Linked DNA regions of Nothobranchius furzeri. The protein of the gene in region 3 interacts with the protein of the main gene of each other region in a pairwise test. Links are inferred from orthologs where the notes say so. Each region holds a gene or a part of one and is shown on either strand. Other genes may lie near its edges.

Region 1 (3,487 bases), on a different chromosome or scaffold from region 3:
GTGGATGGAGGGCTGGAGCAGACCCGTGGCTGGACGTTTCTGGTCAGAGGAACATCATACAGGACGGTCTGCAGAGAGAGCTTTGGGACGCTTCCTCTCACTGTCCAGTCCATCGTCCATCTACAGGGCCTGCTGGGCTGGCTCGGACGACGGCTGTTACATCTCTAAGATGTATTCAGAAATATGAAATGAGGAGATGGTTTATGGATCCACTGGTATAACAATTATGACTCTTCAGCAAATAAAACCACAGTGTTGTTTTTAATAGAGGTTCCTACATAAATGACTTGCCTGTTAACATTAGTGGTGGTTTGCTGGTCCTTCCTGCAGGACAGAGCACCACTGACCTCCTCCACACACATCTTCCTCACGCTCATCCTCCAGACCCACAACTTCACCAGCACAGAGGCAGATGTGCAGCACAGTGCATGCTGACCTGTAATAGATTAAAAAGAGGTTTTTATAGAAAAATGTAAAACAAACATAACCTGCAGTACACTGGTTCTGTTCAGTTTAAAGAAAAGCAGCAGGGAATAGTTAAATAAAAACTACAGAGAATTTACATTTTTAAGACAGATCTAATCATTATTAGGCTTAACTTGAATAAACAAATGCTTATTGAAAACACTTCAATGCTATTTTATTAAAACGCCTGATTTTTAAAGCATTTTACCCCCATTTGATGCAAAATAAGAAGTTCTAAGGTCCAATTAACATTAGAAAATATCCTACTGCATTCAACATTTATAATGCATTTGGTTTATATTAATTCCCTACATGATAATACTCTGTAGTAACGTGTTGTGTATGTTTAACAAGTTCGTTCTGTAGCTTAAAACATACATGAAACCATCTAAAGTTAACATGTAAGTCCTGAAAGCTTCTAGAATAAACAAAGTTACTTTACCTGAAAACGGTTGTAAACAAACGCTGCTGATGGACGTGAAGCTGCTCTAGCTCCTTAATATTCCTGCTCAATTTTCGCTAGCTTTAGGATTTTTCCTTTGCGTGTAGCTGCCGCCACGGCTGTGACGGGACCTACGGGCAGGTGCGCAGATAGGTTGGGTGACGGGGGGATCTGTCCCCCCCAGATTCAGATTGACTAATCCATCCCCTCCACTTATAAGGCAAGAAAGAAAACAAAATCGGGGGTTAATAGCATCAAGTTGGTACAGCTTCTTAAAGGGACACGAATGTTGCCAACCTACACACATCTGTCAAATTTATTGAAATGGGAACAATTATCTAATGTTTAATTTTTGTTAATGTTTAAATAAAACATGTTTTGCATAAAGCATGAGGTTTTGGTTAGTAATCGATTGGGAGAATAACAAATGACTGATTGTGATGGTGTTGCCAGCGTTCTATTGCACAGTGGCTTCAAACACGTATATAATAGTGTTAGTTTTTTCGTAAACCATTAGATGAAATGACACAAACTGACTTGAGCTCTAGTTAAGGCTCCTGCAATTGTTTGTGTACATTTGCGTTTGTGTGTGTGTGTGTATGTGTTTGGGGGAGGGTACATTGGAACTTTGTCCCCCCCCTGTTTGAAAATCCTATCTGCGCCCTTGCCTACGGGCCACCGTAGAGGTGAAGGCTAGACTGTCCGAATTCAGAGCCTCTGGGTTCCGGTCTTAGCGGCAGGGGCGGATTTAGGATTGAAGAAGATCCGGGGCTTAACACACACGCACGCACGCACACACACATAACACACACTAGTCTTTTCATAAAACATTCGGGGCTTGAGCCCAAGTAGCCGGGCCTAATGCCGCCCCTGCTTAGCGGTCTAGCAAGGACCGGCGAGAACCCATACTCATTAGCATCCTGCCCATGGATTCAGACACACCCAGGGTCTTCGTTTAAACAGCAGGAGGTGACTTGCATTGATTTATTTTTTCTTTTTGTCCCCGTGGGCAGGAATAACTCAGGACCGGATAGATGAGTGCAGGGGAGCTAAAGAAAGGACCATGCTTGCTGACATTCAGGCTCTGATTCACAGTGGAGCAGATTTAAACACACAAGACAACAACGGAGCAACGCTGGTGAGACACAAGGACACTTCTGCTCTGTGAGACGTCCTTTCTTAGAGTTTGAGTCAGCTAGAAGATACAAAGCATTTTATGTTTCTGATGGAAACAGTGACAGAAGATTCATCAATATTTGATGAGTTGGGTTACACCTTATAAAACATGTTGTGTTCTGGTTGATCTCTTCTCAGCTCCATATTGCCTCTGCCAATGGCTACATGTCAGTGGCAGAGATGCTAGTGGACAGCAGGGTCAATATGGAGCTAAAAGACTCTGATGGGTGGACACCGCTACATGCTGCCGCCTGCTGGGGACAGGTCGGTACTGCAGTTGAAGCCAACGCTTTATAAAACTTCATTCTGAGTAATGTTTGTGTTTTTGTTTGACAGATCCAAGTAGTGGAGCTGCTGGTGGCCCATGGGGCTGATCTAAATGCAAAGTCTGTCTTAGATGAGACACCTCTAGGTGAGAAGAACCCAACTCGCTCCATAAAGTAGCATTTAGTACTTGTCTGACCTGTCCTGGTGTTTTAACAGACGTGTGTATGGACGAAGCGGTCCGAGCCAAAATGATGGACCTGAAGAGCAAACACGACGCCATCATGAAGAGTCAGGACAGGCAGAAGGGCACGCTGCAGAGACGAGCATCCAGCACCGGAAGCAGAGGGTGAGAGTCAGATATTCCCGCTGGAGTTGAGACATTTTAACTCCCTCTCTGTGTCTCGTTTGCTACTACAGTAAAGTGGTGCGTCGCGTCAGTGTGAACGAACGCTCCAGTCTGTATCGGAGGGAGCATCACAAAGAGGCGATCGTGTGGCAGGAGCGCGGCCGGCAGCCTGAAACTCATGACGACGATGAAGACAGACAAACCGACAAAGAGCTGCACCAGCACGCTGTTTTGGTGAATTTAAATGTCTCCTTATCACTTTTATCACACCAAGAGCGACAAAATTCACCCAGATGTTCTGTTTCAGGCTGCTGGTGCTGCAGCAACGACGCGCCTAGAGGAGCTGGAGGCAGCTGACAGGAAGATTGCATCAAGTGTGGCAAATGGGGAGACCTCTGCTTCTCTAGCGTCTTCTGTTCCTGGAGAGCAGTGGAGCGGGGGAGGCTACATGGAGCGCAGCGCCTCCTACCAGCTCAACCCTGCGTCTGGATCTGGACTTTCAGAGGGGGAGTCTGCGGACAGTATGAATCGGGAGAAATCGCACCAAACGCTGGCCGACCTGAAACGCCAGCGGGCAGCTGCTAAGCTCAACAAGTATCCAGCACCTCCACCTCCTCTGCCACCTCCTCTAGAGGAGGAGGAACCTTCTACTGCAGCAGTAGTCCAGACCACCCCCTCTCAGACTCAATCAGAAATCCAAATGAGCCCTCCAGCAGAGCAAGCCGCCTCCCCCAGCCAGGTGTACTTCACCCCGGCCAGCGGAGATCCTCCGTTACTGAAGCTCCGAGCCC
Region 2 (4,146 bases), on a different chromosome or scaffold from region 3:
GGTCAGGATGCCTCTTGGACGCCTCCCTGGGGAGGTGTTTCGGGCATGTCCTGCCGGCAGGAGGCCCCCGGGTCAACCCAGGACACGTTGGAGAGGTTACATCTCCAATCTGGTCCGGGAACGCCTTGGGGTCCTGCCGGAGGAGCTGGTGGAGGTGGCCGGGGAGAGGACGGTCTGGAGCTCCCTAGTTGGGATGCTGCCCCCGCGACCCGGACCCGGATAAGCGGAGGAAGACGACAACTAATATTAACAATAATTTGTAAGATTTATTTCTTTTAACCCTTTAGAACCCAACCATAATGAATTAGAAAACCGATTTGAATAAATACATCAGAATGTAAAAAATTATTTAATAAAATAAAGAAGTAGAATAATTTTCAATATATGTATGGATAGAATGTCAGTTAGGTTTTCAAACTTGAATAATTGACTCAAGAAGCAATTCTGCAGGTGTTTGAAATCAGTTGTGTCACCACGGGTCCTTAAGGGTTAACATTACTTCAGTTTTGGTGTGTTTTTAAAACATCACATATGATTCCTTTTGTACGGCGAATAGGAAAGCAGCTTCCACCATTGCCAAGTACCCCAACAAGATTAAGAGTGGAGAAGAGGCCAAGAAACTGGTTGGTGATTTTTAGTTTTGTACACTTGCTGCATTTGTTAAGAAGTCACCGTTGTTTAATGTATTAACATACATGAAAAGTTGAAGAAAATCACTAATTTTCTTCAACTTTTCACAATTTTACAGGATGGAGTTGGAGCCAAAATAGCAGAAAAGATTGATGAGTTTCTTCAAACTGGCAAGTTAAGGAAACTTGAAAAGGTAAGTTTGGATATTTGCATAATGGATATAAGAGCAAACAACCAAATGTGTTTGGATTCAAACGCATCACACTGACTGATGTTTGCTACTTTAATATTTTCTACCAGATCCGAAACGATGACACCAGCTCTTCCATCAATTTCCTTACCAGAGTAACTGGAATTGGGTATTGTATTGTTATTGTGACTATTATTACAGTTAAAAAGTGTCGGGGGATGTTTACAATTAAATACACAATCACCACATCACTTGGTTTTCTGTCCACAGCCCGGCTGCCGCAAGGAAGTTCTTCGAGGAAGGGGTTAAGACTTTAGATGGTTTGTGAAACAAATTCCCCTAAAACAGTTTCTTGTTTAATTTCATTTCACATCCAATGACTCTGAGACTCTGATCTCCATTGTTTCCCATGAAGTTGTTGTGTACAAATTTGGTTTTATTTATATATTGATTCTCATGATACTCATGGTTTTTATTTTCAGATTTGAAAAAGGTAGAGCACAAGCTAAATCATCATCAAAAGATTGGGCTCAAGTAAGCTCAGCCAAAATACGCTCATCCCCCAGCACCACCACTTTCCTTCATTTTCTGTTATTATTTGATGGTTTTAAAAGTATTTTTAACATAATAAATGTGCTGGTGTTTTCTTTGGTACTTAGGTACTTTGAAGAATTTGAAAAAAGAATCCCACGAGCTGAAATGGAGAAGATGGAGGTGATTTTGAATATTTCTACTAAGGCTTTTATGCCTAGTTCTCTTACACTGATCCTGTGTTTTTGTTTAGACTCTTATTCTTGGAGAGTTGACAGAAATCGATACAGAATACATCGGAACAATTTGTGGAAGCTACAGGAGAGGTAACCCAAGTAGAAAATAATTAGTTTTTAATTTAAGGTTTTAGTTGAGCTTTTTAATTAAGGTGAATAATTTCCAGGTGCAGCATCGAGTGGTGATATTGATATTTTATTGACCCACCCAAAGTACACTTCTCAAACCGAGAAGCAGGTCAGACCACCGTTTATTCTGTGGCTCATTGTTTTCTAAAGTAAATGCAGCTTTCTCTCATTTAAGCGTTTCTCATTTTCCAGCCCAAACTCCTTCATGCTGTGGTTGAGCATTTGGAGTCTGTCGGCTTCGTCACCGACACTTTGTCCAAAGGAGACACCAAGTTCATGGTGAGGCCTGTTTTGTTCTCAGCTGAGGAAACACACCAACCCTCCGTTGTACATGACCCTTTTCTTAATGTCCTGGATCTAGTGGTTTTTTCCCCTTTTCTCTAGGGCGTCTGTCAGCTGCAGCCTAGTGATGATGATGAGGAAGAATATCTTCACAGGCGTATTGATATAAGGTTAATATGGAAGTCTTACAGATTTTAATACATTAGGTTGCTTCAAAATAACGATTGAGTAATTCTGTCTTTATTCAAATAGTTTTTTTCTTGCTAGTTATTGATTTTCATTTCATTTCAAAAGGTTGATTCCCAAGGACCAATACTACTGTGGAGTTCTGTATTTTACTGGAAGTGACATCTTTAACAAAAATATGAGGACTCATGCCCTGGAGAAGGGCTTCACTCTTAATGAGTACACCATAAGACCACTTGGTGTCACTGGTGAGTCGAACAAAGCTAGATACACTCAGAACTTTGTTCAAGTTCTCAATAACCAGACATCATATAGACAGACACCCTGTGGACTTGTGCTGCCGTGGCAGGCTGCCATCTTGGATGGGTCTCCATTCACCCCCAGTGCATTTATTTCTACTGTTTAATGTATTTACGCAAATAAAAATACTTTTATTATGCTTTTTCACAAAGTCAGACATATGGTATGGCATGATAGTTAAATATCTTTTTTGCACATTATAAAAACTATACAATAATTTAACTATACACTTAATATAAATATAAATACACACTACAGTACTGGGTGACAGAAACAGACAGGCAAATTGATGATATTTCAGTGCAGCTTATTTATTGTGCAAGTTTGAGTTAATTATGGTGATAGCTTTAGGAAAGAAGCTATCCCTGATTCCATTTGTTCTGGCCTGTATGGATCCGAAGCACCTGCCAGAGGACAGTAGGTTGAAAAGATGGTAGTTTTTAGCTGACCAGGAGAGGTCTGCAGAGATATGGATGCCAATACACTTCGAAGACTCCATTTGGTCCACAGATTGTCCATTGATGTGCAGGGGGGCAGGGGTCATTCTGTTCCGCCTGAGTTCCTTGGCCTTCCCAACGTTATGTTCCAGGTTGTTTAAAAATAATTACATAAAATAAACATAAAACATCTCAAATGTAAAATCCCAAAAGATAGGCTAGAAAAGTCCCACGTGATCTGTTTTCAATAGTGCGTTGGTTGATGCAACCATAAGCTGTACAAAATAAAGGCGTAGTTGCTCACTCTTCATTGACTCTTGGGTTTAGAGAATGGGGAACCCATCCAATGTGGTGGTGACACCGTTACACTCTCCAACGCCCAATGAGGTGTCTGTCTTTGTCTACATTATTTACAGCAGTTCATTCTTGTATCTTTTAATCTGTTGTAGGAGTGGCTGGGGAGCCTCTGCTGGTGGATAGTGAGAAAGACATCTTTGACTACATCCAGTACAAATACAGAGAGCCGAAGGATCGCAGCGAGTAAAACAATGCTACAGCTGTCCTGCAAACAAGATTTTACTAGAAACAAGTGTTATGCTTTTGCCATACCTTCATGACGCTGAGAAGAAAGTAACTGTGAAAATGTTTTTAATGATTTGTGTTGAAATATTCCTACCTAAATTGAAATGGTCATCACTCTTGTGAAAAAAACGCTGTATTTATATGTTGACTTTACACACAAACATCCTTGTGAACATAACTTCAACTTGTTTTTTATCATGTAAACAATAATTTATTTGACCTTATTTTTATTAGTTTTTATTGTTACAAAAAAACAAAATGTCTAGATAAGTCATTTTTTAACTGGAATGACCTATTGCATGTAATGTATGTGCTGAGACTCGTGTTTTTCTTGACGATGGTGCTCTTGAATACAGCTTACTTGTACTTTTATTTCTTATTTGGCTAAGTAGACAAAGGGGAAAGTGGTAGTAGACGTTATCATGCCAATATTGTGCTTGCTTATCTGTTTGGGGGAAAAATACATGTTCGAATGGGACATAATAGCATTTTGAGTGATGTTTTCAAAAGTAAAATAAGGTGTAAGACTTGAATACAAGATTTGCATTAACTATTTTAGTTTGGGTTTTGAATACTTGCATGAGGGGGAATTATGAAATTGATTCAACTGTTAACTGAGTGTGAATGAAATAAAGGAAAGTGA
Region 3 (4,802 bases):
TGATTGGCCCACCATTATGGACTAATCACAGCTCTTTATGTGTTTGAAACCCCTCTAGAGAGCTGTGATTGGCTAGCCAGAGTCCTGGTAGGAGCTGCTGAGGTTCCAATGGAGCATGCCTAGACCAAACTTTGCAAAGCAAGAATTTGGTCTAGTTCACTAGGCTAGAGAGCTCCCTGAGTGTAGTGTCAAATAAAGCAGTCAAAGGCTCTGGCAAGCCAGTTTGTTCCTCTGTATCCGTGTCTGATGAACCTGTATCTGTGCCACTGTTGTCCATGCTTGTCAGGACTGCAGCTTCTGGCTCCACTGCCTTTAGTTCCAGGATGTCATCATCTGTCAAGGCTAGGGAAAGGGTAATAAGACATAATTAGGATGCAGTTTTCAGTTTTAATAAATTTTATGTTTCTATCTTTTCCTTTATCTAAAGACACAGAATAAATTATTACAAATTAATTAAGAAATAATACATTCAACGTGCAACCACAAACCAGAACTTAGATTACACTTGTCATTCGTTACATGCCTCTTAGTGTGACACTGCTCCGCTGCTGGGAGCTGTCGGCCTAGCTTCTTTGATTTGTGGAAATTGATCTTCTTCAGTGGAGCTGGTTCTACATTTTTCCTGCTCAGATCTTTCCATGCACATGCCTGAGATGTAACTGCAGACTTTTCTTTCTGTTTTTCCCATCCAAACACAAAGCTCAACTTTGAATAAAAATTACTGCAGCCATGCAGCAGCATGACCCAAGTCTGGAACATCAAAATGACAGAATTAAACATATTTATACTTTATTTCATGCTTTAAATTGACATTTCATTCTAATTCATCCGTATTTTCCCACAGCATATTAGTATAAACTGTATTTCTCTAAAATGAAGGAGTGGATAACTGTCTCAAGTTCAGAGCGAGACAGAATGGGACTCAGCTTAGCAATGTTCCTGAGATGGAAGAAGGATGAGCAAACAAGAGAACTGACATAAGAATCCAGGGTGAAAGCTGGGTCAAAGGTCACACCAAGATTCCTGACAGAAGGTACAGCATAAGAAACATTCATTCAAACGCTGATGAATACATGAATGTTTTCAATTTTAATTTAAAAGTTACTATCGTTGGGGCACATTTGAGGTCGTAAGGAAACTGATTCCATCTGTGCAGCAAAGTAGCTAAAAGCAGCTTGGATCTCAGAGCCCTGCTGAGCACATATACAGGAATGAGATCCATGAGATGTATTTTGGCCTCATGCCACGGAGTGATTTATAAACTAGTAGAAGCACTTTGAAACAGATTCTGTAGTAACTGGTGTAGAGACTTATGAACAGTATTGGTGTTACATTTGTTAGCTGATCAACAAAAAGTAAAAACGGCATTATTTACTACTCGATCCCATTTGGGCTGTGTACAGTGTGAAAATGTTCAGTCTGACTTTTAACCACCAACAACAGCTCAACACTAATAGTAGGAGTAGCTGAAACTGCTTCCAGGAGCTGCACCTTTAACCAGCTCTCCTCCCCGTCTCACCCACCGTGTTGCTCTCCGGCGGCTCTTCCCATCTCGCTGCTTTTCTTTTCATTGTCGCTCTCCGTTTTATTAATCATGGCTGCTCATTCTACCGAAGAGCCATTTCCTTTTCACGGGCTTCTCCCCAAGAAAGAAACCGGAGCTGCCTCTTACCTCACCCGGTTCCCTGAGTACGATGGAAGAGGGGTGCTCATCGCCATCCTCGACACCGGCGTGGATCCAGGGGCCCCCGGCATGCAGGTAAATCTGACCGGATACCTCGTGTTATTTACGGCCGAGCTTCTGGAAGCTAGGGAAGCTAAAGGCCGACGGTTACCCGTAGGCAGCAGCTAGCCAGTTAGCCACTCGTGAAACATAAACCTGTTACTACAACAAGTGTCCCAAAACACCTAATGACAACTTAAATACGACAAAGTAGACGTTAGGAAATGTTTTGTTCTGCCATGAAACAGTCAACCAACTGGACTGTAAAACATTTAACTTTTAATTATGAACATGTATGCTAACGTGAAAGCTAGCTGAAGTTGACCATTGACTTCACTGTGTTTACATTTGTCACTTGGTTAGAGTTCCATACAAGTACTTTTAGTTGCTTAAACTGGCAAAATCATCTCCAGTGCGATGCATCTGTCTTATTAAACGGTATTATAATTTCAACGATCAAGTTAGACTGAATTAAACTAAGCCAAGGTGTTATCAGACACCGGTAGGGTACAAATAAAACAACATTAGCCTACCAACTGTGAATGAAACAGGGTGTTGGGTGACAACAAGATACTCGATTGTTAGCTTAATAATAACTCTAACAGCTTAAAGTCTGTTATGAGTGGAAAAACGAATGAATGGACCTGAAAGGAAATGGAGAAAAACAGATCAGTTGAGTAATTATGTCAGGGTAGTCATCACAAGCCACTGGCTAAAGCTAGACCTGCGTTTGTTTATCTTGTGCTGTTATGTTCTAAAAATATGCAAGATCCGAGGTATTCCCACACATGGAGCTATCTTTGAAACGACCTACATTTATCTCTTGGCATTGTGACACAAGTCTAAAAGAAGGTTACAACCCACAAATGAGAATATCCGAAGATTTATGGAACATTTAGGATGAAGTCATTCAGGGAGCTATGTGGTAATTGTATTATATTATATTATATTATATTATGTTATATTATGTTATATTATATTATAAGTTGCAGAGCTCACACATTTGCTTTTATCGCCTCTCCTTTAGGTCACAACTGAGGGGAAACCAAAGATTGTGGACATCATAGACACAACAGGCAGCGGTGATGTGACCATGACTACAGTGGTAGAACCGAACGATGGGACAATCATTGGCCTCTCTGGTAGAACACTTAAGGTTGGCATTTCTTTTGATTGTTATGAAATAAGCAAAGAGATTCTGTCTCTGTTAAGAGCTATTGCCCTACATCTCAAGTCTTTATTTTCCCCAAGTGATCTTGTGTGTCATACTGTGTCTTTTTATGTCTTTCAGATCCCTCCTGCCTGGGTCAATCCATCAGGGAAGTATCGCATTGGAGTTAAAAATGGCTTTGAGTTCTTCCCTAAGGCTCTTAAAGAAAGGATACAGGTAGGAATATATGACATCCTGACTGTTCTAGTTCTGTCATAGTCTTAATTTCTTTAGTAGATTTATTTTTTAGGATTATGGGTGATGAGTGAGGAAACAGGCTATACTCTCAGAAATGTTTGTGTTTAGTGATTAACTTAAATGAATAATAATGAATGAAAAATGGCAATACTTTACACTTGCTTTCCATAATTTGTGGACTTTGTTGCAATATTTTGTGCTTTTGCTTGTTAGAAAGAGCAAAAGGAGAAGATTTGGGATCCACAGCACAGAGCAGCCCTCGCTGAAGTCTGCCGGAAGACAGAAGAGTTTGACCTTGCTCACCCGACGCCTTCACAGGTCAAACCCACAGGCTCAGGTTCTCGGTGTGTACCAGAGGATTGTTTTCTGTGCTGATTACCTCCTTTGTTCTGCCTTCCAGAATGAAAAGTTGCAGAAGGAAGAGTTTCAGAATCAGTCAGAGCTGCTGGCATCGCTGGAAAAGAAGTACAGTGACCCTGGTCCTGTGTATGACTGCATACTTTGGCATGATGGTGTCACGTGGAAGTAAGCCACCCTCGTCTGTAAAACCCATCTTAGATTAGATTTACTGTGCTTATCCTCTTTATTTTCTACTGTTGCTTATCATTATTACTTTTTCAGGGCTGTAGTCGACACATCTGAGTGTGGAGAGCTAGCCCAGTGTACCGTGCTGAGCTCATACAGAGAAAAACAAGAGTATGCTACTTTGGGAAAAGCTGAGATGCTTAACTACTCTGTTAATGTCTACGATGAGGGGAATATGCTCTGCATTGTTACCAGTGGAGGTAAATTGTTTTGGGACAACAGCAGCTCACTGTTGAAATTTGCATTGTAAAACCTTGAATCTCCATTGAAACGTGTTGATGTGCTTTTCAAGGGGCTCATGGAACACATGTGGCGAGCATTGCAGCAGGGTACTTCCCAGAGGAACCAGAACGTAATGGCGTGGCTCCTGGTGCCCAAATTCTGGCATTGAAAATTGGTGACACTCGCCTCAGCACCATGGAAACGGGCACCGGGCTCATCCGCGCGGTATAACTCCATAGAAAAACCCAGCTCAGTTGGAGGTTTTATTTTGTACATGTTTATTCTTTGTGTCTTTCTGCTCCTGACAGATGATTGAAGTAATCAACTACAAGTGTGACCTGGTGAACTACAGCTACGGGGAAGCCACTCACTGGCCTAATTCAGGGTGAGTCCGGGGCTTTGGGTTGTTAGATTGGTTAGCGTAGCTGTTGCTGACTGTCTTTGGTGATGTGTTCCTTTCAGGAGGATTTGTGAGGTCATTACTGAGGCTGTGCAGAAGCACAATGTGATTTTTGTGTCAAGTGCAGGAAACAACGGCCCCTGCCTCTCCACCGTCGGCTGCCCGGGAGGAACCACCAGCAGTGTCATAGGTGCACACTCTTAACACTCTTTTCTATAATGCATCCATGTGTTTCTTTATTCCTGCTCCTTTCTTCTCGTAGGCGTCGGAGCATATGTTACTCCAGACATGATGGTGGCTGAGTATTCCCTAAGGGAAAAGCTTCCTCCCAACCAGTACACGTGGTCATCTAGGGGCCCCAGCACCGACGGGGCACTGGGGGTCAGCATCAGCGCCCCTGGCGGTGCCATTGCATCTGTACCCAACTGGACCCTTCGTGGCACTCAGCTAATGAACGGCACGTC

The links. The genes of interacting proteins can lie anywhere in the genome.
Region 1: the proteins of tpp2 (region 3) and ppp1r16a interact in binary tests that used the Homo sapiens proteins (3 or more experiments, as listed by UniProt). The two-hybrid records come from large-scale screens. The link is inferred for Nothobranchius furzeri from reciprocal best matches to the Homo sapiens genes TPP2 and PPP1R16A.
Region 2: the proteins of tpp2 (region 3) and polb interact in binary tests that used the Homo sapiens proteins (3 or more experiments, as listed by UniProt). The two-hybrid records come from large-scale screens. The link is inferred for Nothobranchius furzeri from reciprocal best matches to the Homo sapiens genes TPP2 and POLB.

What each region holds. Positions count from the first base shown.
Region 1 is NC_091747.1:54,999,747-55,003,233, forward strand, and holds part of ppp1r16a (protein phosphatase 1 regulatory subunit 16A), read left to right. Parts: intron 1-1,920; coding exon 1,921-2,045; intron 2,046-2,221; coding exon 2,222-2,347; intron 2,348-2,419; coding exon 2,420-2,495; intron 2,496-2,566; coding exon 2,567-2,696; intron 2,697-2,767; coding exon 2,768-2,930; intron 2,931-3,003; coding exon 3,004-3,487. UniProt on the Homo sapiens protein: Inhibits protein phosphatase 1 activity toward phosphorylase, myosin light chain and myosin substrates.
Region 2 is NC_091757.1:55,610,235-55,614,380, reverse strand, and holds part of polb (DNA polymerase beta), read left to right. Parts: intron 1-556; coding exon 557-623; intron 624-703; coding exon 704-823; intron 824-930; coding exon 931-989; intron 990-1,090; coding exon 1,091-1,140; intron 1,141-1,302; coding exon 1,303-1,354; intron 1,355-1,479; coding exon 1,480-1,534; intron 1,535-1,604; coding exon 1,605-1,677; intron 1,678-1,754; coding exon 1,755-1,825; intron 1,826-1,908; coding exon 1,909-1,995; intron 1,996-2,100; coding exon 2,101-2,168; intron 2,169-2,292; coding exon 2,293-2,432; intron 2,433-3,370; coding exon 3,371-3,465; 3' UTR 3,466-4,146.
Region 3 is NC_091749.1:36,628,036-36,632,837, reverse strand, and holds the start of tpp2 (tripeptidyl-peptidase 2), read left to right. Parts: upstream 1-1,487; 5' UTR 1,488-1,594; coding exon 1,595-1,759; intron 1,760-2,750; coding exon 2,751-2,879; intron 2,880-3,014; coding exon 3,015-3,110; intron 3,111-3,344; coding exon 3,345-3,449; intron 3,450-3,531; coding exon 3,532-3,656; intron 3,657-3,752; coding exon 3,753-3,916; intron 3,917-4,008; coding exon 4,009-4,163; intron 4,164-4,246; coding exon 4,247-4,323; intron 4,324-4,400; coding exon 4,401-4,528; intron 4,529-4,600; coding exon 4,601-4,802. UniProt on the Homo sapiens protein: Cytosolic tripeptidyl-peptidase that releases N-terminal tripeptides from polypeptides and is a component of the proteolytic cascade acting downstream of the 26S proteasome in the ubiquitin-proteasome pathway.